Arabidopsis thaliana: one gene and its partners. The protein of the gene in region 3 interacts with the protein of the main gene of each other region in a pairwise test. Each region holds a gene or a part of one and is shown on either strand. Other genes may lie near its edges.

Region 1 (5,116 bases), about 15 Mb from region 3:
GTCTAACAACTGATTTTACATCAATAGACTGTTTCTTATACTAGCTACATTGGTATATATATATTAATGATTACTTTTGCTATTTTATATAGGTCATTATTAATGGAGACTCAACTCCTGAACAAGATGTGAGGATCAAACAAGGGTTTAAACCGGATTTATGTTTTTTTTACTTGATCAAGTTTTATTTAAGAAAAAAAATAGTGATTTGCATTAATTTTATCATATGCAATTTTTCAGTTATGAAAAAATAAAGAAAGATTCGTTTAGAGTAATTCAGATTATTAGAGACAAAAAGCACAAAAGCTCAAAAAAGACAAAGTTGGACGGAAAAATCTATATATGATTAAAGCAACGAAAAACAAAGAAAAAATCAAACACACACATTGTGTAATTTTTTGTGTATATGGAAGAATAAAGTGAGGCGATCGGAATGAACATCATTGATCATGCTTTCTCAAATTCTTCTCTGATCCTAAAACCAATAAAATGTTGTGTTAACTTATAAATATCATCCATCAGTTTTTACATTGTAGTGTATCGTCTCTAGTAGAGTTCAGCAGTGATCATGATCATCACTAATAGTTATGGCGTTCAATTTTCGTTTTCTCTAAATGTTTTTAAGAATTATCGAAGGAAACAAATATATACATTAAATGCTTCTTTAAAATATATAAACTCTGTTTAGAATTTCAGTATTGAAATCTAAATTATAGTTTGTTTAGATTTTACTAAAGATCCTAGTACTCCAATAAATACAATCTTTGTATTTTTAAATAACACTGATATTATTGATCTTATCCCTATCATTAAATTCAACGACAAAAGTAAACTTTGTTGCAAAAGAGAAGAAGACTATAATAGAGAGACGACAGATCTCGTTCTCAAGATGGTGCACTCGCATTACACATTTGAAATCCGACAGGCCCGTTCACATTTATTCTTAATTCGTCATCCTCGTCCAGGATACTTTAAGAAGAGGTAATTTCTAGGTTTTTAATGTGTTTTTTCCACTCTGATTTAAAATCCTTTCTTCTCTCCCAAGCTTCCCTTTGCTTTCAATCCCCAGGAGCTGGAAGGATTGTAATGAGTTCGAGCAAGAAATCTCAAAAATCGAATCATTTCCGGAAATAATATCCAGAATTGATGAATATGTTGCACAACTTAAGGAGGAGGTGGCCTATCTAAAGATAGGTATTTATTCAGAGTATCTATTTGATCATTCTTTCTATTTTATTCTCCTTTTTTATCTTTATGTGTTTCATATTCGTGTAGCCAAGGCGATTGTCGAAGAGAGGGCTAGGATTCGCTCCATAAAAAGAGCGGAGGCGCGTAAGGTTTTAGAAAAGTAAGTTTAACAATTGACGACTTTTTAGAGAAATTTTTAATGATATTGACGACTTAGATGATTAATTATGATCATTATCAACCGTTTAATGATTACTTTTACTTTAATAGTTTAAGGCAAACTCTACTCGGGGAGATGAGGAAGAGGAAGGCTGACGAGGATCTATGAGAACTGATGATCACATAAACTTCATGCTACATGCAATAAACGCGGTTAATTGGGTTTTGTTTTTTCTTCAACATCAACCCGACCTAGCTAGGGTATTATCTATATATATGGGACATCTTATCATCTGATCTGCATGTACCTATTTTTATTATTATAAATGCTTCATATATTAAGAAGAAAAGTTGTAGGCTTGTAGCAACCGATTCATAGTGGAAAATCCTTTTTTTTTTTTTTATGAAAATCAGATCGGCCGCAAAAACAACTTTCACCATGCACGAAGCTAGAAACTGCATTGATGTACCGTGTACGCTGTTTTTAATATAAAATAATTGCAGTTTTATTAGTTAGGCTACAAATATGAAATCAGGAGAAATATACCAATTAATGTACGTCCTAATTGCTTGGTATGTTACATAACCTTAAGTTGTATAATATTTATTAATTTATTTTATACTGGAGTTGATAGCTTTAAAAGTTGAGAGCAAAGTAACTTGAGACCATTTTAGAGTTAGCAAAGTAATGGAGAAAATAAGAAAAATCACACGCATGCAGCATGATGTATAATTATTGGAAACATGTATTTCCAAGAAAGTAATCAGTTCTCTGTACGCCTGAATTCGATTTTCATAAAGCTCACTTCCTTGGATTGCTAGAGCAAACATTTATATTGATATCTGCGTTAACATCATAACATGTGGGTTTTTAGTAATTCTCAACAGTATGGGTATTTTTGCTCTCTCTAGAGAGGGTAAATTTGTGATTCCATCTGCAAATTATTCCTCCTATATATATATAGAACGTGATGAATCAAATTTCTTAAGTTGCAAGCCATGACTAATCTTGATGAGTTTCTTGAAGAGCTAAGTTCTATTGAATCACATTCTCAGAAAATCGTGAAGATAGATGAGCATTTAAAAAAGTTGGATGAAGAGACGAAAGAAGATGAAGATGAAGATGCGGCGAAGATAATTCAAGATCGGAGTACCGCGAGAGAAGCAGGTTAATTTCTTCTCCTTCACCTTGTAATTTAAAGTTGTTCCTCTCTCATTCTCAAATCTTGTTGGGTCTTGGAAACGCAGAAATTGCTCTACTTATGGATCTCCGTCAGAACTTTCTTCCACCACCATCGATGTCATCCTCCTCTCTTCAACCACCGTCATCGTCAACTCTCGCACCATCGTCATCATCCTCTCTTCAACCACCCGCACCGTTGATAGACTTCTTTCGGTCATCAGTGTCATACTCTCATCAACCACCGTCATCTTCAACTCTCGCAACATCATCGTCACCGTCTCTTCAACCACCGTCGATGTCATCCTCCTCTCTTCAACCACCCGCATCTTTGAGGGAATTCTTTACGTCGTCAGTGTCATACTCTCATCAGCCATCTTCATCTTCAACTCTCGCAACATCTTCGTTCTTTCCGTCGTCAATGCCATACTCTGTTCGACCTCCCGATTCGTCTGATCGACCATCTTTGAGGGAATTCTTTCCGTCGTCACCATCATCCTCTATTCAGCCACCCGAATCATCATCATCTAAGCGAGCACGGCTTAGTAACATCTTTCCGTCACCTTTATCCTCCTCTCCGTCACCGTTTGTTAACCCGTTTCTCCGTCCGCAGGCCCAAGAACCAACAATACCAAATTTCATAAACCCAATACCACAGATCTCTCCAGGCCTACCTGCTCTATTCCCAAACCCTAACCCTAATCCTAACCCTAACCCAATCCCAAACCCAATCCGAAACCCAGACTTGGTGTGGACAAATAGGCTTCAACTAGTGTTTGATGACGCAGTTGTCAGACTTGGGGGATTATTCAGTATGCAACTTTATAATTTTTTTATTTATTTTGTTTATTCTTTCAACTCCTAACTATTTTCCTAATTTTTTTTTTTTTTTTCAGGTGCAACACCCAAAGCCATAAACGAACTAATTTCTGAAGAGGGTCTCACTGGTGACCAGATCCGTAGCCACTTACAAGTCTTGCGGGATCGTCAAAAGGCTATTGCAGACAAATTAGCCTTGGAGTGAAGAAAATATTGAAGATGAGAGATAGGATTAAATAGAAAGAGTGATAGTATAGAACGTTTCTTTTTCTTTTGTTGTTAATCTTGCATATTACAAACAATTACTATATCATAATAGAATTTATGTTAATGTTGGAGTTATTAAAAAAAAAAAAGTTAACCATAATAACATTCTTACTGTACGCATGAGTGATCATTTATCACAATCTATTAGAGCAACCCCAATGGGTGGGATGATGACAGTCCCTAAAAAACCAAAAAATAATAATATTTTAATTTTTTAACATAGTTTGACAACTAAAAAACCTACACATGTACATTTAATCTTCAGGTCCCTTATATAAGGGTTTTTGGAGCCCTTCTCTCCTGTGTCCCTTCCATTTTAATTATTTTTTTTTTTTTTATATTGTAAGGGACCTTAAGAGAGACCACCATTGCTGGTGCAGGCTGTAGAAAAATTTGTTTAGCTTCTCCTTCTTTTCTTAATTTTGACAGATAAGTCTCAGCCTCTCTCCCCCCATAAGGGTATGTCTTGACATTTAGATTCGTTGAATCAAAAGTTTTTCATGTTTGTTCATATTGTGGTCTAATCTTCTTAGGCAGATATGACCTCAGGGAAGAAAGATTATTATGAGTTGCTCAAAACTACAATCTTTAAATAAATATTTGGGTGATGAAACTTCTAGTTCTTTTTTTTTTTTGGTCTAAAATGAAACTATTACTTCTAGAAGAGAAATATCCAACTCTTTTTTTTATTCCAAGCAAATGATAACCAAAAATGCAATAAAGGTGTTAATTTTTATCATAAATATATTCTAACTATGGTCGTAACTTGTAATGGAACACCTAGGCATTTTTTATTTTTTTGGTGCACACCTAATTCGAGGAAAAAGGTTGAAGTAATCATAATTACATAAGTTTCTAACTATGGTCGTAATCGAACACATCTAAGGCGTAGTAATAATTAAGGAAAAAGGTTGAAGTAGCAAAACGACGAGGTTACGATTTGTAAATTCCATAAATGCCCTCTCTCATTTTCAACCTCAAAGAATCGTTTTTGGCTTTCATCAGCCGCTTCGTATTTTTGTTTTCTTCAGTAACGGAAAAAATGGTTTCCGACTTGGACCTCGTGACCCGACTCCGTGAGATTCTCGGTAGCTCCGACCTGAACACGGCGACTCCGGCAAGCGTCCGTCGTCAGTTGGAGGCGGATTTCGGTGTGGACTTGACAGATAAAAAAGCGTATATTAGGGATCAAATCGATACTTTTCTCGAGAGCAATGGCGCGGTAGAAGACAAACCTGAGAGTCCCAAGGTAGAAGAATACATTAATGCCGACGAAATCAAGGCGGAAATTGAAGGAGGCGATGGAGAAGACCTCGACGGAGATGGAAGTGGAAGTGAGGAAGAGAAGGAAGAACGGTAATTACTCTTGTAATGATTGTGCTTTATGTGAAATTGGATTTTTGAAATTCAAATATCGATGAATCAGTGATCATACACACACACAAAGATTGAGTATTTATAGGAATCTTTAGCATTTTTCAATCGAACCAATCAAAATGCTTC
Region 2 (9,098 bases), on a different chromosome or scaffold from region 3:
GACTTACCGAGCTTTCTAAGTCTCTCTATCTCTCCTCTCGCAAAACCTGAGTCTTCTTCTCGCTCTGTGTTGAGACTTTTTGGGGAATGTGATGGAAGAAGGAAGCAGAGAAGAGATTATGGGATAAAGGAATTGGTAATGGCCGGCAACGAACTTGGGTTAATAAAAAAGAAAAGGTTGGCAAGTTACACGTTACAAGAGAGGATGTTGCAGAGAGAAAGATTGAGTGGCGATGAAGAAAAGGGTTAGGAGGAAGGTGCGACGTGGGAATCACTCACTTCCTTATTTGATTTCCAAGTCTTTTATTCATTTTTATATTTAAGCATAACAAGTAGTATTAGAGTGGGTTTTACTCCCCCCTATTTGATAACATCTGTCTCTCTTACTTTTTCTGTATATATGACGTATCTACTGTATTTCTTTTTAACAAGTTTATATTACCCTTTTATGAATTCTAACAAAACAAAAAAAAGTGTGAAAAAAAAAAAACAGAAAAAAACTCTTATCCTTTGAGGCTTTCAGTTTGACCCCAACAAAATAAAATAAAATTACACCATTAACCAAGGTTAAATTACATCAATTGCAGATCTTTGTACCATTGCTACAATCTAACAGCCCAAACGAATATGGGCCTGAAGCAAACCAAATAAGGATGTGGCCCATTTTTACATCATATGACTGTTACCGAATCAGAAAGTCAATGACAATAATGGAAAATATGCAAATTTGACAATTTTCACCCAAGATAATGGTTGTTGAAGAAAATTACACAGGATGAAACATTTAGGCCACGAAGTTTTGAATATTAGGGTTTTGGGCCTCTCGGCTTGTTGGACTTTTTAGATCATGCTAGACCAAAACCGACTACACTATTTTGAGTAAGTAATTCAAAAATCCCAATTCGTTAGAAAACGAGCTTGAGTAGTTGTCCCAAAGTGATTGATCATTGATGTCTACATAATAATATGCATCCTCCATATAAGATTATGGCCGGTATTGGGCTGAGATGGTAATCTAAACATTATTTTGATGCCTTGATGGACAAATTAATATTGAGATTCTATAAAAGCTTAACCGTGAGTTATATACTTCTACCGAACCCAAAAAAAGCATCTAAAGAGCCGTGAAAAATAAATTCTCAATTCGGAGGGGGTCATTATGACACAAACTAAAGGAATAAAGCCATGACAAATGTGGATTTGCAAGAGAGCTGCATTGACTAAAACAGCTATACGAATCAAAGGAGGCATATAACAATTTCTAATAAAGGAAAGGAATCTGAAATGTGGCATTAGGATTTAGGTGATGACAGGGAGTGGATGTTGACCGATCAACAAAATTATAGGATAATACCAAACTAATCAATTTAAATAACACTCGATTGAGATGTTTACAATAATTATTGATAATTTTAATGCTATTTTCTATATTTATTTACGATTAATGCAAGAAGGCCGTTTAATTTTATCTTATTGGTCTACATAATTGTCATTATTCTAAGGCTTTTTTGGTTGAACTGGTAGAGGCAAAATAGTTAATTATTCAATACTTAAGTATGTTAGGTTAACCGACTAGAGAAAGTTGCTCTAGTTCTATTATATCCAAATTTGAAACTTAAAGCCTAAAAGCTGTTAATTTTTGAGAAGAAGAAAAAACTTTCAGAAACTGTTTCACATATTATCACTCTCGGCTTTCAAAAGGTTATAGACTGAAGATGAAACTAAAAAAAAATCTGTAATTATGTATAGTGTGTTACATATAAGTAGACGTATTATATTCATACTATTCTTATCCCTCTCTCTGTCTCAAAGGTCATTTAACAAAAAGAGTTGTAGTTTAGAAATAGAAACTCACTCGATTCTGCTATTTTAATATACATACACAAATCAACAAACATTCCTTATCCCACATTAATGCATTGTCTTTGATTATGAATTTATGATTATGTGTATTAACATTATTTCATCACTATCTCTAGTACTATTCCAATAACAAACTCATTAGATCATCCAAATAATATATATAATTTAGCTTAAACTATAGCTGGGGAGTTGTATTCGATCATTTAGTTATAGTATATATTTGTTTACTAGACTAAAGATATATATATCATTTTTTTTTTGGCAAAAATATAAAGTATATGCTGTATATATCATGCCCATTCAAAGATTCTTGATATAATTCTAGAATTTTCCTGTTAGTTTTCTTTTGGTTTTAGATTAACACACAGACTACTTAGAAAAAATAACTTCATGCATGATCCATGCTGCTAAGATGATAGAGTGAAACCCAATTCTTTTATGCAAATTTCACCACTTTACTTTCACATATACAGATACGTATTTTGATATAGGCATGTACGTGAATACGATGAATAATACTACAGAAAAGATGATAGATTATTGAAAAAATGTGTACGTGAATAAGCCCAAAAAGAGATTTGATGAAAAAGAGCCAATAAGCACAAACAGGCGGTTACAAAGAGAGAGAGAGAGATTGTGGAGTAGGAGTCAGTGATTCTAGTGGGTTCCTCCTCTTTTTCTGCTCTCTTTCTTCTATTTTTATTTTATGGACTAAATTACAAACTCTCATTTAATTTTCTTCTCGCTCAATTTTTTTCTACCTAGAGAAGTCGATAGTTTTCTTAATAATCTACCTCCATTTTCTTGTGATCGGTCCAATTAATCTTATATCCAATCATCTTATTTATCTTCTACATATTGGATAAGGCTCTTTTATTCTTTACCAAAGATAAAGCTCCATTCTTTTTCTTAACAAGGATAAAGCTCTTTTAATTAAGCACTCTTAGACTTTTGATTTTCTGTTTAACTTCTACATTTCAGGTTTGTGTATGAATAGAGATCGTCCACTCCATCTGATCAATTGCCAAGTACTAGCTTCACCCTTGACAGCTATAAAGTTAGTCAACTAAATTTTCAATTTTCTGTACAACTTTTTTGAACCCAATATTATTATTTGGAAAACAAAAAAAAATGCAACACATAAATATAGCCTGGAGACAAAGTCTAGGAAGGACAAGATCTTCGTCTGATTTACCATGAAAAATTATCAATATTTCTTTATTGTTTTCTTCAATAAAATTTTGAAATTTAGCAAGTGGAATTTGTGTTTACTATGGAAATAGATAGAGAAAGGTGGTGAAAAGGAGAGAGTGATGATGAATCACAAAGGTTTCTTCACATACAAGTATAGAGAGAATAGTAATAAAGAGAGAAAGAGTAATGATACTATACATTAGTCAATTACTAATACTTTATTATCATTTCTCTATCCAACTACAAATATATACACGCCCACATAATTTTGTATATGTATCTCGGAAAGAGAAAAGATTGGACCCTCTTTTGTTTTTCTGTTCAGCCATAAAAAAGCCTTTGACGAGAAAGCTTCCATTCTACTTTCTCTCTCTCCTCTTTGTTCTCAAACACCAAAAGCAAAACATCACAAAAGGTAAACACATAGATATCTTACTTTCATGTTCATATCATCAACTAGCTTTTTCTTTTCAAATTCCAATCATTTGATCAACTAATCAAGAATTAATTATAAGACTTTGCAATCTCTCTCCCTCTCCCTCTCCCTAGCTAGTTCTCTCTTGTGTTTCTTAACTCGAGCTTCTCTCAATAGTGATTATCATCTTTTTCATCATTTCAAGATTTAATGTGTTTTGCAGAAAAGAGACTAATCAAGAAGAGATATCATCAATTGAAGCTGTTTTCTTGAGTAGAGATGGCGAACCATAGAATGAGCGAAGCTACAAACCATAACCACAATCATCATCTTCCTTATTCACTTATTCATGGTCTCAACAACAATCATCCATCTTCTGGTTTCATGTAATTAACAAATCTTCCTTCGTCTTTTCTTCTTTACATATACATAAAGCTCAACTTTATTCATATTACATATCTTAATATTGAGCTCTAATTGAATTTTATATGGGTTTTCTTTGTTTATTCTCAATTTGTCATTTTCTTAGTAGTATTATGATATGTTATACGGTTTCATTTATGAGATATGAAATGGTCAACGGAAATCTATAGGTAAAACAGAAACTAAAAAATGTGTTATGGATCATCCGAAATAGGTTTTATATGTGCTTTAGCTTTTGTGTAAACTTTCATTATATGCGACCGTCTTTATTAATCTTCTAACTCAAAATGCGACCCTCTAATCAAGTATTTATATTTTAATTTAATTGTTGTTCCTTTTGGTCTCCAATTTTTCTTGGTTTCTGATTGTATAGTTGTAGTAACACATGATGAATATTCTCTTTGTACTAATTAAACAATACTATTAATAAATGAAACAGTAACCAAGATGGATCGTCCAGTTTCGATTTTGGAGAGCTAGAAGAAGCAATTGTTCTGCAAGGTGTCAAGTATAGGAACGAGGAAGCCAAGCCACGTAAGCCCCCCTCTCTCTCTCAAATCTTCATGACGTGAGCTTTCCTTAACAAACTCCAATAAAGTTTTTAAAATTCTGAGCAAAAAACTGAAACTGGAAAAAACAAAATAAAAAGCTGAGAGTAGTCTGAACAAGTCTTTAGATAGGTTTAGGTGATGATACGGAGGCAAAAGAGAGCCTTGGATGGCGTGACTTGTTTTTCTATTTCTCTTCTCTTTATTTAGAAAATAAGAAAAGAAGAAAATATCTTTTACCAACTCCCTAACTTCCTCTATATCAAAATATTCATAATTATACTATTAGTAAAATGTGTCATGTTATATATAGATTCCACGTGATAAATGATGTAGTTAGTTCTAAGTAGAATATATTGTAGTACTACTTAAATTACATCAAAAACACATATACATGCATGCACACATTTAATAAGTAGCTAGCATACTACATGATTACATATGAACATTACATATCTGATAAATGTAATGATGGGTAAAATTGCAGCTTTATTAGGAGGAGGAGGAGGAGCTACGACTCTGGAGATGTTCCCTTCGTGGCCAATCAGAACTCACCAAACTCTTCCTACTGTACCCTTTCTTCTTCTTTGACCCTTTCCTCTTGTTTTTTTCTCCTTTTTCGGCATTCCTATTTAAACTTAAAACTTATATTTTCATTTTACCCTCACTTTTATATACATGTTTCAGCTTTCTTGTTCCTCTTACTATCTCTTATTTTTGCTTCTTTCAACTCAAAAGCTGATAGCGATTTTAGAGTAGTTAATTACTCCATTCCTTTCTCTTGACTTTATTTTATATTACATAAACTTATAGTACCCCGTTTGTCAAATTATATACGCTAAGGTCAATTCCTCCTTAGTTACATTGATTATCCCTTTTCTGACTTTTTATTAATTATCTTATACGTTAATGATGATGAGTATGATTATGTTGAATATGTATTGCAGGAGAGTTCCAAGTCAGGAGGAGAGAGCAGCGATTCAGGATCGGCTAATTTCTCCGGCAAAGCTGAAAGTCAACAACCGGAGTCTCCTATGAGTAGCAAACATCATCTCATGCTTCAACCTCATCATAATAACATGGCAAACTCAAGTTCAACATCTGGACTTCCTTCCACTTCTCGAACTTTAGCTCCTCCTAAACCTTCGGAAGATAAGGTACTCATCATCATCATCATCATCATCATCATCATCATCACTTTTTAAAATTTAATTTTAGAAAGAGATATATGCATGGTACGTACTTGGAGTCATCATGAAACATGCATGCTTAATTTGGTGCATGTACATGGTATGTATATCATTAGCCTATCTCTCTCTCTCCTTGTCATTTGATAGATATGCATGCACATGCTTTTTCATATATGTCTATGTCCTAACAAATCTTTCCAATAAAACAAAAACATACACAGATCCCAAAAAGGAAACGGATCAGAGAAAATTCAGAATTTTGACCTCTCGAATCGTTGATAAAATAATGAAAACAGACAAATTTAAAATACAAATTATTAAATGAAATCCCCAAAAAGCGGAATAAAGCAGAAGAATCTTCCTAGGTGTTATTATTGTTTTTATAATTTACTTTTTACTACATGATTACATATCCTCATTTCTATGTTTACTTTAACAACACATATATTCCCTAAATGAGTTCATATTGCTTAGATTTAATATTACATTAAAAAAAAGTATTTAATAATGCTGTTTTTTTAATTGTGTGTAAATGGTATTTAAATATTTATCACATGAGTCGACTTCACTCACACAATTTAATTTATGTTTACTTTCTTTCCACTGAATGAATTTCTATTTTCATCTCTGTTCTCTGACATTGCAGAGGAAGGCTACAACTTCAGGCAAACAGCTTGATGCTAAGGTACTTTAACTTTCATCATCATCATTTCCTATACATTTTATTTGACTCCCCCGAGGAGACATATCCATTCCTATATATGTACTTACTTTTTAGTAACCTTTTTTACCTGAATTAATTCGTTAACTTCTTGTTTAAATGTTCTTAAATCTGGATTATGCAGACGTTGAGACGTTTGGCCCAAAATAGAGAAGCTGCTCGCAAAAGCCGTCTTAGGAAAAAGGTATGACCATATAATTGCCTGACTTTTCACCTCAAATTATTATCATTTGTTTTTGTTTTTTTGACCTATTTATATATTCTTTGCTACTTTTTCCAAATGATAATTTGTTGCATAGAATTACAATAATGCTATTGCTACTAGTAAAACATACGCAGTGGTGTCTTTTATTCTTCTTGGAAACCGCTGTTACATGAGCATTTATTTCTTTATCTACCATTTACCAGTCTTCTATAATTCATTTATGAACGTATAAGTTCCGCATTTCTTGTTATTCTATATGTAATGATACTAGTATGAAAATAACAAATGCATATACATATGGTTTGAGCAGGCGTATGTGCAACAGCTAGAATCAAGTAGGATAAAGCTTTCCCAATTGGAGCAAGAACTTCAGCGAGCTCGTTCTCAGGTTGAAATTGAATCATTTATATTCCTATAATCCTATATATTCTGCTAAATCTTTTTTTAAATTTGTCAAAACCTGTCATTTGCTAAGTTTCTCAATTGTTCATTGGTTATTAATAATGTCTGTTTGTTGAAATTAATATATTGTTTATGTCGATGGTAGGGGCTGTTCATGGGTGGTTGTGGACCACCAGGACCTAACATCACTTCCGGTACTTGAAACCTAAAACACCAATTGCAATGTATTATTGTATTAAAATAAGTACAATAATGGTTAAACTATTATTAACAAAATGTTGAAAATCGAATGTACGTAGGAGCTGCAATATTTGACATGGAATATGGGAGATGGCTAGAGGATGATAACCGGCATATGTCGGAGATTCGAACCGGTCTTCAGGCTCATTTATCTGACAATGATTTAAGGTTGATCGTTGACGGTTACATTGCTCATTTTGATGAGATATTCCGATTAAAAGCCGTGGCAGCGAAAGCCGATGTTTTTCACCTCATCATTGGGACATGGATGTCCCCAGCCGAACGTTGTTTTATTTGGATGGCTGGTTTCCGTCCATCCGACCTAATCAAGGTTCGACTTGTTCTTCCTTACTTTACCCCATGATTACAAACGTAAGTTTTAGGTTTTGCGTTTGAAAAACAAAATGATATTCACGTTAGTAAATTACATCAACAAATCTGAAACATTGCTGCAAAATGTAAACAGAAATGAGTATTCTTCGGTTTAATTATTTGCGTGTGATAAAAAAGTTGTGGAATCATGATTAACTAAAGAAAGGGATGTGATCTTAGATATTGGTGTCGCAAATGGATCTATTGACGGAGCAACAACTGATGGGAATATATAGCCTACAACACTCGTCGCAACAAGCAGAGGAGGCTCTCTCGCAAGGCCTCGAACAACTTCAGCAATCTCTCATCGATACTCTCGCCGCATCTCCAGTCATTGACGGAATGCAACAAATGGCTGTCGCTCTCGGAAAGATCTCTAATCTCGAAGGCTTTATCCGCCAGGTTCCATTTTCTCACCTATCTTTTTTTTTTTTTTACTTCATTTGCTCGAACAATAATTACAAACGAATGCAAACGAGAGAAAAAAACACCGTGTGAAATATACACAAAATTTGACCTACTATATAACTGTAGATAGTTTTTGACTAAACAAAATTTGCAACGTATTTTGGTTTATAGTTAGAGAGGAATTCGAATATATTTTTTAGAAATATATTGGGTAAATTTTAACGTTTTATATATATACTAGATGTACAAATGTTTAAAAATGCGGAAATACGTGCATATATTTTGCGTACATATATGAACAAACGTATGTGCTGGCTAAATTATCTAATTGAAAAAAAAACAAATAATCCAGAAACAGACAATACGTGAAAGCAACATTTGATGTTCTATAATAATTATATGTTGTTTTGGTCTTTGATTTAATTATTCCAAGAGCCAAATTTCTTTCACCAACTTGTTTTTACCTTTTATATATAATATAGCTGAAAAAAAGACAAAGAGAATATGTTAAAAGTATTCTCCATCTCTTTCAATGTTTTGTTTTGAACTCAACAAAAATATTTTAAAAAAATTTCTTGTTTTCAAACATTATGATCAAATTGATTGTTATTGATATGTATTGACTTTTGTAATACCCATTAGCCCACCAAGGTAGTAAGTAGGTATGCAATTATAATTATTAGTTTTTAATAATATTACCAAAAGAAATATTGAAATAATCTTAAAATGTCAAAAGATGTGATTACTAACTGTAATCTTTTTCTTTCTATTATTAATCTAAATGAAGGCTGATAACTTGAGGCAGCAGACCGTTCACCAGCTGAGGCGGATCTTGACCGTCCGACAAGCTGCACGGTGTTTCCTAGTCATCGGAGAGTACTATGGACGGCTCAGAGCTCTTAGCTCCCTTTGGTTGTCACGCCCACGAGAGTAAGACACATTTTTATGCATATATACATTTCATAGACGTATAATAATGCTAAAATATGAATTTGATATCGGGAATTATCAATGTGAATAGGACACTGATGAGTGATGAAACCTCTTGTCAAACGACGACGGATTTGCAGATTGTTCAGTCATCTCGGAACCACTTCTCCAATTTCTGAATGGAATGA
Region 3 (5,026 bases):
ATGGATGAAAGAAGAGCAGTGGTCCTAGTGGACGAGTTGCATCTAAGAAAAGGAGGATATGAAGCAGAGAAAGTGAGAGGTAAATGGTCCCTTCAACAAAAGCCAATTTAATCTGTGAAGCACATATATGACTATGACTTTAATGGCAAAGCAAAGGTGTTTGTAACCAAGTGTTTGCTGTTAGGGTTTCTGAGACTTTGTGGGCTTTTAAGGCCTTGTGGGGTTCAACTCCATTCACGGGGACCACCTTTGTGTGATTTGTTTGGTTTGTACATTTATATGTATTTTTTTCGTCGGTTTGTCTAAAATGTGTCATTCCTATAGTATTTGTAACTTATAAAAATGTTGGACTTTTTCTTCCATCTGAATTTTGATTCAGATCTTGGATGAAGTATAAAACCGACGGATATAGCAAACAATCTCCAAAGATAAATGATGGTCCGAGGCTTCGAAGCATGTGCAAAAGAAGTTCTAGTTTCAAGTTCAAAATTTTTCAATTATGTAATTAAATGATGTTAAGTTTATATTAATGGCTAGACAAACTAATTTAATGCCAAAAATTATTAAAAGTGGAAACTGAAAAACTAAACAAACTTTTAGATGTCCCCCAACAAACTATAAAACTATAATATATATATATATATATATATATGTAACATTGTCGTAGATATTGCTTTAGAAGAGGTTTCAGTTTGATTATAATGCCAAAGTACATAAATTGATTAGACCTTTAAAGCTCTAGACTAAAACCTTATTCAATCTCTTCACCAACACGTGTCATCTTAGTCTACCTCACATTAATCTAAAGGAACACTGTTATTTACGGTTTCTATTCAACAGCTAAAGCCCACCGAGATACTTTCTCTGCTCGCAGCTACATGGGTCACAAATCGGATCTATGCAATCAAATGGTGTTGTTGCACAAGTTGTTTGGTTCTCTTGAAATTTTATAAAGTATACATTTTGATGTGGTTTGCTGGATGTACTAGCAATCTTCTCTTGTATTCATGCTTATGCTCTCGATGTAGACTAAACTGGCGCATTTGTTTATACTTTATATATTTTATAATTTATGTAATAAAAGAATTTTTTTATGTGATGTTATTGTTTTTATAATTCTTGTCACATGAAGGCGATGAAAATTTTGCTTTCTCGTTTAGTTTGCTATTAAGATGACCTTATTATTGTTGTGTGCTTTGGGATATCTAAACCGATATTTAAATTTAAGTATTTTTAAAATCGAAGTTGCTTTATTTTCTTTTCGTCATAAGGGTTCGTATCATTTATAGAAGATTCTTTTTAGATTAAGGCTTGGAATCGATTCCCCTCAACTGTGTCACTTTTTTTTTTTTTTTTTTTTTTGCACACACTTTTATGGCAAAAAAGAAAACCGAATTTCTATGAGCCGGGGGAATGAGTCAAGAGTTCAGTAAACCAAGAAAAGAGAAATGAAAGAAGTAAAAGCTGGTCCCTAAAAGAGAATTCTCTTCGAACTATATAAATAGTAACATCCGGGTACATGTGTGATCAGTGAGTACACACCGACCCCCACGTACGTTCGTAATGAACCCAATTCCCTGATAACTTTCACCTAGTTTTAGATTTTTTTTAGTTACTTATCATAAATTTTACCATGACCCATTTTCTGCTCCATAAATGTTGTACGTGTCTGTTTCATTACTACAGTATTGTTTATTTTTTACAATTGTTTTTAAAAAATAAATTGAAACGGGTCTTTCATTTATTTAGATCAAAGGTTGTCCAAGAGTTTTAGAAGAGCGACGACATCACAAAAATTTGTTTCATGATCAAGATCCCGTGGGCAAATAGATCCTTAAAGAATCTAATCCATATGAATCAGAAAAGGTAAAGATTAACGGAACCGAGACAAGACATGATTAATTCTTTTAATAAAAACCAATTTGATCAAAAACTTAAATTATTAGTATCGAAAAGAAAACTGTACCAAACTAACTAATATGTTACATATTATATGTACTACCTAGATTAGGTTGAGAAAGCTATAGAATTTCTTTTAAAATCGAAAAACTGAAAATCTCAATGAAATTGGAATTGAAAAAAATCGTAAGTCCTATATATTAATTAAGTGCACTATTTGGAAAAGCACTTGTGGGAATTTAATAAGAAACAAAAGTAGATATCACAGGAACCAGGCGGAACAATGGTTTTGAAGGAAGTTTGTTGGGGAAATGAATATATACAAAAAAAAACTAATTTATTGCATTTTGTTCAAGGACCTATTTCATTGTGACCAAATTTAGCAAAAAAACAGTGGCATTTTCGTGAACTAGTAATTTTTCAGAGTTTGTCAAAAAAAAAAAAAGTATTTTTTCAGAAAGTATTGTGTACCAGATAAAATTACACAAAATAAACTACCATATTTACGAAAATGCCACCCATCCACTATGTAAATTAGAAAAACCAAAATATGAATATGGAGAAGTACATTTTCTCGGAGAAAACTATATACTTAATTAGTAATTTATCAAAATATGAATACGAAGCTTTTATGTTATGTATTCGTGTATATATATATAATCGAAGTCAATAATTTAACCTCCAACAACCTTGCGTCTGTCTAAGCATCTATCATAGATCATGCATTATAGATCCATAATCTTCATCCGATACAATCTAACACAATTAATTCCACACCGTTAGTGAATAATATTGCGACTTTTACATATAATATTATATTCAATCCGTTCATCATTCTTAAGTCTTAAGAGACCAAGGATAAGCTATCAACCTTTCTTTAGCTCTTTGATAATTAGAAGCTATCAATCAACCTTTCTGACATACAACAAATAGAAAATTTAATGAATTGCCATAAAAAATAAGAACCAATCAGTTTTATATAAATGTTTATCTATCTCTCTAAAGCCTCATAACTCTATATATCGCCCAGTCTTTTTATCTCTCTGACTCTCTCTCTATGGACGAGGCTACCGGAGAAACAGAAACTCAAGATTTCATGAACGTCGAATCCTTCTCTCAGCTTCCTTTCATTCGCCGTCCTAAAGATAAGAACCCTAAACCCATTCGTGTCTTCGGAAAAGATTTCACCGGCAGAGATTTCTCTATTACTACCGGTCAAGAAGACTACACCGATCCTTACCAGACCAAAAACAAAGAAGAAGAAGAGGAAGAAGACCAAACCGGAGACAACAGTACGGACAATAATAGCATCAGCCACAACAGGAGATTCGAGTGTCACTATTGCTTTAGAAATTTTCCTACTTCACAAGCCCTAGGTGGACACCAAAACGCTCACAAACGCGAACGTCAGCTTGCCAAACGCGGTGTTTCCTCTTACTTTTATCATCCTGACAATAACCCTTACAGTTACCGTCATTACCCGTCGTGGACCAATGGTCCGTTAACCGCGGCTAGGTCCTATGGAGGATTTTCTTCTGGTCCTAAGCCGTCGGGGTATTATACACGACCCAGCTATGGGAGTCAGTTAGGACTATGGCGTCTACCGCCTCGCGTTCAAGGCGTTTATAACTCAAACGCAGCGTTTACTAGTAATGGCTCTTCTTCTTCTTCTAATTCGACTTTACCGTTGTTGACCCGTTCTCAAACTCAACTATCATCGCAAGTGGGTGGCTCCGCTGCTCAGAACAGAATGTCATCGTACGGTTACGGATTGAGCCCTAACGTGCAAGATCATGTGAGTCTCGATCTTCATCTTTAAAGATTTGAAAACAAAATAAAACTCTTATTGAGTGTTATGTAACTTAGTGCAAGAAAAAACAACCTAAGTTATTGAATATTACGTAATCTTTAACGATTAGACTTCTTATTATCTATACCTATTCCCTTATTGAATGTTTTGTAAGGTAAGAAACGGCACGATGTGTAAGATTCACGGCATCGATCTTTCTTTTTTTACCCATACGTGCTTGAATGAAGGAAGGGAATTTATGAATTTACGTGTCCACATTTAATATAGCTTCGAACACTATCGTTTTGGTTCAGGGAAATTGTCAGTAATAGACTCATAGCAGTGCTTACTAGTTACTAGGGTATTTAACTATAACCGCACAGTGACTCAGATAGAATTTCAACGATAAAATGATAGAATCTTTACTGTACGGAACTAACAAGTAACAAATACAAAAACAAAAATTAAACCTCTCGAGTACAAATCTTTTTACGAGGGTTTGAAACGAATCTAATGGACACTGTACTCATCGCCATCTCCTTGAAACAAATAAAACTCAAGATGGGTAATAAGTAGCTAGGTAATAATTTTAGATGATGCCAATGATGATAATTTGGTGCGTGTGGGTAAGTGAAGACAATGGACAAGACAAAAGGGTATAGAGAGAAACAAAGTGAGTGAAGTGGTCCATAAACACACAGATGTAGAGTTTACGATAGAGATTTCTCATCTGTACTTAATGTAATTACTATTCTCGTAACTTGCAATTTCGAGTAAGAACATAAAGAAGGAGCTAAAGCAAAGCAAAATTCCTCAAGCTTTCTACTTTTGTGTTTATTTCTTAACTTTTCTTTTAGGTAATCCAAAGAATACCAACAAGACAACAGCCTCTATAGTCTATATATATCTCAATCAATGAACTTGAAAAAAGTTGTGATTCACATACCGTAAACTCCAATTAACAGATGCCACGAGATTGATTATGACGGGTTGGTCCTGTTGCATTCAAAAGGACAAATACAAAACTACTAATGATATCAGAGAATGTCAATGACCCGAAATGGTTTTCAAGACAAAACATGGGAAAATCCTTGTACCTAATTAACCATGTAGTTTATTTTATTTTATTTTTATGTTAAACTATCAAATCAAAACATAAATATAGATGACAACGTAGCTAGGACTTTGATCCAGAAGAACATACGAGTTTCCACATTTGACAAGACTTTAATCAAAGAATATCACAAGCATTAATTCACAACCTCCACCAATATAATGCACTATGCAACAACATGGTGATGGTTACATATATATGGTTTCTTTTAGAAATCAACTAAT
Region 4 (5,073 bases), on a different chromosome or scaffold from region 3:
TTTGTTATCCGCATGAACTGTACGTAGAGAAACTTAGACTCGAGCCTTGAGTATATCATCGATAAAATACGGGAGATGAAGCTTTGTGTAGAAGTAAGTAATCTGAATCGTCACATTGTTGTTATCTCACGACATGCATGTATATTTAGGATTTCATATATGTTTTTTTAGTTTCAAATTTTTCTTTTTCATTGGTTTTGTTTAATTCAGTTTATCATATGTTATATGATAGTTAAGTGAATGTCATTTCTTACTTGCTGGATTAGACAAAAGCAGTAATTAAAGAAAACCATTTATCATGACTAAACTCAATATTTAACAATGCAGAGTTATTGGAGAAACTCAATAGGTCTAATGATGCCACCGGGCATGGGGGTGGTGGATATTCCGGCACCATGGGTATATCCTTATAATTATGTCCCTCCAAACTACATGATGTATTACAATCACTTTCCGGCAGCACCGGCACCAGGAGAAACTAGCGGCTACGCCAACCAATTTGTACCCTTTACCACTTATCAGGTTTTGATTTGTTTTCTTCTTCATGTGTTTATATTTTTGTGATTGTTAGTTGTTCTTTATTTATCTGTTCTTTCTTGACAATGAAAAATTTACAGGGAGTCAACAACAATAATCAACCACAGACGACAAAGCCGATGTAAACTACAAGATGCTGTAGTATATAAGACCAGTTCATGTTTTAGTATTAAAGACCGGTTCTCTCAAGTTCTTTAATAATATGGTTTGTTGTTTAATGTAAAGGAGTTGGTCTCCCAAGTTGTATTTGAAACTAGGAGTACTATGTGGCTTGCTCTTTGTTGTACGTTTTCGCACTGTTGTATAGTATACTGTAACGTTGTAACGTTTTACATTGTTTATCGTAAACAACTTATAGTATTTTGGTTGTTTAAATGCAATGTTTTCGTGTTTAGTTCTAGTGCGCAACATCATATATTAATTCACATTAATCACCAAGAAGAATCTAGCTATATTGTGAAACTAAGGATTGTTCCGAACATAAACAAAAAATGTGTTGAAATATATTATATTATATCTAAAATAAAATAAATAATATAAATATTATTATTTTGGCAAAAAAACTATATTAATATTGTTTTAAAGAAAAAAAACTTTGTAGCTAAAATGATAAACATATATAAGTGATTTTTTTTAACTTACATATCTCGTTAACGTTTTTTTGTTTTTTCGTTAACGTTTATAATTTGTAAGAAAGATTTAAAAATGAAATATTTTCATAAATATTTAAATATTAGATATTTGATCCGCGGTTTGGGCCTGTAGAGAATCTTAAATTCATTTTTTTTTTCTGTTTTTATTTTCAATCTTTGAGCAAAACAAATAGTTAATGATGTTATAGATTCAATTGTTTAACAAAAACTAACTTAAGAAATTAATTTAATTGAATGATTTTTTTTATAACTAAATTGAATGATATTGCAAATATCTATTTACAACATTAAATATATTTGTTACTATAATGATGTTAGTGTAAAAAATATATTCATTGTTGCACCCAAAACATTCATAATTAAATGTTAGTTTTAAACTTGGCAATCGAAATTTTATATTATTTTTCTTTCAAATCGCTCATATGATGGCAGGTTAACCAAATATGTTTTGCTTGTCCGTTTTTTTTTTCTATCTGTCTCCAATTGTTCAAATAATATATACGAGATATTGAAGAAATGGTTGAGAGAAAAAAATGAAATGGTTGAGAGAAAAAAATGAAATGGTTGAGGTTTATTTAAGAAGGAGAAGTAACGAGAGTGTGCATGTATCCACAAATAACCCAAATTAAAATAGTACATCTAGCTATAAAAAACGTCCCGTCTCAATGAAGTAATCAGACGACGGTCTTATGTATTTGGGTCGATGGCGAAGCTATTCGATAGAGAGTTCAAGATCTCTGATCAGCACATGTTTATATGAAAGATTTTGGTGCATGACTCCTTAAAATATGTATGAGTATTGAAGAGACACGTAACTCGATAAATATATGCAAACGTACGTTCTAAATATCACATCAGAAGCTAGCTTGCACAGTGTTACAAGCCGGTCAAAACAAATTTCTGACTAGAAACATTTTCTTGCCCTTGCATGGACATGTCCATGCATGTTGTTGATATAATAGAAAGTTTATCTTGTTCTCAATCAAAATAAATAATTCTTAAATATTGAAATATGTCATTTTTGTTCGAACTTGTAATAGGAGTTTTACAGTTCTCTTTTCCAACTAGATAATGTTTTTCCAATTTTAATGCAATTTGTTGTATCCATAGCTAGCTTGAGAAGAAAAATAAAATACTAAAGATTAAGAACTGCCGTTCATGAACAAGAATGACACTATTCCCCTGCCGTTCTTAGAATTTCAAGAAAGAGCAAGAAAGCAAATATAAGAAAACAACAAAAATATATGTTTTCTTCTGTCTAATGGATGTGCGTAAATGTGGAACACATAAATATAATAATATAATGGAAAATGAGTAAATAAATTGTTAGAGAAAACCATGGGACGAAGCAAAATCATCTTCTTTGCTTCCCGCTCAATTGTTGGAACTTTCAAAAGAAGCTTCTTGTATCTCCCCTATATATATATAGCTTATGGCTGAACTAACTAGTTTATCCTTAACCCTCCACTTTTCACTCTTTAACAAACTCAAAATCCTCAATTTAGTCAATCATCAATGGAGAGAAACAACCGCAACGAGGGGACTCACGAAGAAGAGCAATGTTCGCTTTCTGATATTATTTATTCGTTTTGTTCAGAAAATCATAGTGAATTAAACCCTTTGCAAGAGATATTCGGTGTTACCAAAAACAATGATCATGAGAAACACGACGAGGAGCCAGACGAGGAAAGTTACCGTATGGCTAAACGGCAACGTTCCATGGAATATCGTATGATGATGGAGAAGGTGAAGATGACTTAATCTCCTTCTTCTCTTACGTGATTCCCTAGCTAATTTATATTTTTGCTTTCTAAACTTTGTAGAAAAGACGAAAGGAGATCAAAGATAAAGTAGATATTTTGCAGGGGTTGATGCCTAATCATTGCACAAAGGTTAACTATTACTTAATTTACTCCATATTTTTTATATATTAGAGTCTAATACAATATCAAGTTTCGAATATCGAGTTTCTTGTGTGTTTATCTACAGCCGGACCTTGCATCGAAGCTTGAAAACATCATTGAATACATTAAAAGTTTGAAATATCAAGTAGATGTAAGCATTAAACTATATCTAATTTAATTTAGTTACTTGTATCCATTAGAGTATATATGTTCTTATGTGTTATGTGGATGTGGTCCAGGTTATGTCAATGGCATACACAACAACTCCGGTTTACACACCACCATTTTATGCAGCAGCTCAAGCACCATGTATGTCTCCTTGGGGCTATTATACGCCAGGAGTTCCAATGATGCCTCAGCAAAACATGACCTATATCCCGCAATATCCTCAGGTTTGATCAAATTAAAGTTTAATCTGATTCCACAGATTCTGATTTCTGCCATCAATCTTTTATCACAGGTATATGGAACAGTGCCGCCAAATCAAACTCAACCTTAAAACAAGCTCTAGCTATGTGGCTTTTTAAGACCCTCCGGCTTTAGACTCGTTGCTGTTTATATAGACTGTCTTTGTAAACTAAGATATGTACATAGATACATAAATACATACGTAGTTTTATGTATAACTTTTAGTTTGATGCCACAATATGTAAAAACACCTGTTTTTTATGTTCTGTTTTGGTTGAGCATTGTTCCTCTGTTATTTATGTTCTGTTTTGCTCAACCTTTTTCTTTGTTGAATGTAAGTTAAATAAACAACAAAGATGTTATGTTACGTGTAATAGTACGTTTGTACCAAACATTACTACAACCCTAGTTTGATAATTTTTATCTTGAATCATAGAAAACGAACTAGATCACTAAAATGTTAAATTCAAGAAGCAGAATACATTCATTGGCTACAAATTATCTACACACTTTAACTTTTTTTATTAAAGCAAGAAGCCAAAATAGTTTTATCTTTAAATGTTACTAAAGTAAACAAAAAATGCTTCCCGTTTAACCTCCACAACCACCACCGCAGCCAGCGGCGCAACTGGATCCATTGACATCGTCGTTAGTGTGAGGTTTAGAAGCTCGGTCACTGCATGAGAAAATCACGGCTGCTATGACGGAGAAAGCCACAACAGCTGCCCAAATGTAGAGTGAGACTTCACCATTACCCGCCGCTATTACCGCGAGTTCTCCTCTCACCATTGAAAGAGTTTTTGTGCATCGCTTTGTGACAATTGTTGAGACTAGTTGATAAAGAGAGTTGTAATTGGCATATTTTCAAATGTGTGGTTTTGCGTTTTCGAGTCAGAAGTCACCAAAAAAAAGATGCGACGACTCTTTCTTATATATACTGCCCTTTGGTTTAACTCTAGGGTCAGTGGATCACAAGCTAGTAGTTAACCAATTGTGTGTGCGGCCACTTGATTGTCTTAAAAAATAAATTAAAAATTTCTTAGTTAGCAAAAAAACATAACTAAGAGCGAGTTTTTAAAAGTGGTCATAAAGTAGAACAATATAAGAAAGTAGCACTACAAATGACATAATTACATAGATGACTATATTTACATAGATGTCTATTTGGACTTTGAATGTATGGATATACGAAAATATTTTGGAGATTTGTTTTTCTGAAGATTCAAAAAATTGATTAGAAGACTCTGATTAGCAACTTAAAACAATTTGAACTATCTAACAAATAAATGGTAAACAGTTACGGAATAATGCAAAGATGTAAAATAGAGAAGCAGTAAGCAAAAGTGATAAACAAAAATCCAAACAAAAAACCAAGAGGTATATATTAACTTAATTTGGTTTACGGAAAAAAAATACATGAATAGAGACAAGAAAATAGATGAGTCTCGATGAGTCTTTCTAGTAAGAAATCAAGAGCTGATTGCATGTGAAGCAACATCCCTAGTGACCTTGACGAAGCCAAAGAGGTACCTAATATATTTTTATTTTCTTTTATCACCAAAGAGGTGCGA

Evidence for each region.
Region 1: the proteins of GIS (region 3) and AT3G19070 interact in a two-hybrid assay, tested with the Arabidopsis thaliana proteins (one large-scale study listed by BioGRID).
Region 2: the proteins of GIS (region 3) and TGA9 interact in a two-hybrid assay, tested with the Arabidopsis thaliana proteins (one large-scale study listed by BioGRID).
Region 4: the proteins of GIS (region 3) and AT1G68240 interact in a two-hybrid assay, tested with the Arabidopsis thaliana proteins (one large-scale study listed by BioGRID).

The regions. Positions count from the first base shown.
Region 1 is NC_003074.8:6,591,427-6,596,542, forward strand, and holds AT3G19070 (Homeodomain-like superfamily protein), read left to right. Parts: upstream 1-2,346; coding exon 2,347-2,515; intron 2,516-2,595; coding exon 2,596-3,339; intron 3,340-3,423; coding exon 3,424-3,551; downstream 3,552-5,116. Other genes in the region: AT3G19055 (uncharacterized protein), read left to right, coding at 890-981, 1,070-1,194, 1,276-1,348, 1,465-1,516; AT3G19080 (SWIB complex BAF60b domain-containing protein), read left to right, coding at 4,656-4,969.
Region 2 is NC_003070.9:2,622,104-2,631,201, reverse strand, and holds the start of TGA9 (bZIP transcription factor family protein), read left to right. Parts: upstream 1-2,607; 5' UTR 2,608-2,919; intron 2,920-3,273; exon of another isoform or gene 3,274-3,381; 5' UTR 3,382-3,471; intron 3,472-3,480; exon of another isoform or gene 3,481-3,694; 5' UTR 3,695-3,750; coding exon 3,751-3,857; intron 3,858-4,333; coding exon 4,334-4,428; intron 4,429-4,929; coding exon 4,930-5,012; exon of another isoform or gene 5,013-5,389; coding exon 5,390-5,599; intron 5,600-6,278; coding exon 6,279-6,317; intron 6,318-6,477; coding exon 6,478-6,537; intron 6,538-6,868; coding exon 6,869-6,946; intron 6,947-7,105; coding exon 7,106-7,154; intron 7,155-7,259; coding exon 7,260-7,531; intron 7,532-7,752; coding exon 7,753-7,974; intron 7,975-8,767; coding exon 8,768-8,910; intron 8,911-9,001; coding exon 9,002-9,089; 3' UTR 9,090-9,098. UniProt on the Arabidopsis thaliana protein: Together with TGA10, basic leucine-zipper transcription factor required for anther development, probably via the activation of SPL expression in anthers and via the regulation of genes with functions in early and middle tapetal development.
Region 3 is NC_003074.8:21,505,537-21,510,562, reverse strand, and holds GIS (C2H2 and C2HC zinc fingers superfamily protein), read left to right. Parts: upstream 1-2,823; 5' UTR 2,824-2,956; coding exon 2,957-3,718; 3' UTR 3,719-3,991; downstream 3,992-5,026. UniProt on the Arabidopsis thaliana protein: Probable transcription factor required for the initiation of inflorescence trichomes in response to gibberellin (GA). Mediates the induction of GL1 expression by GA in inflorescence organs and is antagonized in its action by the DELLA repressor GAI.
Region 4 is NC_003070.9:25,573,699-25,578,771, reverse strand, and holds AT1G68240 (basic helix-loop-helix (bHLH) DNA-binding superfamily protein), read left to right. Parts: upstream 1-2,642; 5' UTR 2,643-2,705; coding exon 2,706-2,936; intron 2,937-3,013; coding exon 3,014-3,082; intron 3,083-3,179; coding exon 3,180-3,245; intron 3,246-3,333; coding exon 3,334-3,486; coding exon of another isoform or gene 3,487-3,492; exon of another isoform or gene 3,493-3,554; coding exon 3,555-3,593; 3' UTR 3,594-3,908; downstream 3,909-5,073. Other genes in the region: AT1G68238 (uncharacterized protein), read right to left, coding at 4,094-4,291. UniProt on the Arabidopsis thaliana protein: Transcription factor involved in somatic embryogenesis. Acts as a positive regulator of somatic embryo formation. Acts as a positive regulator of ECP63 by targeting its promoter and inducing its expression.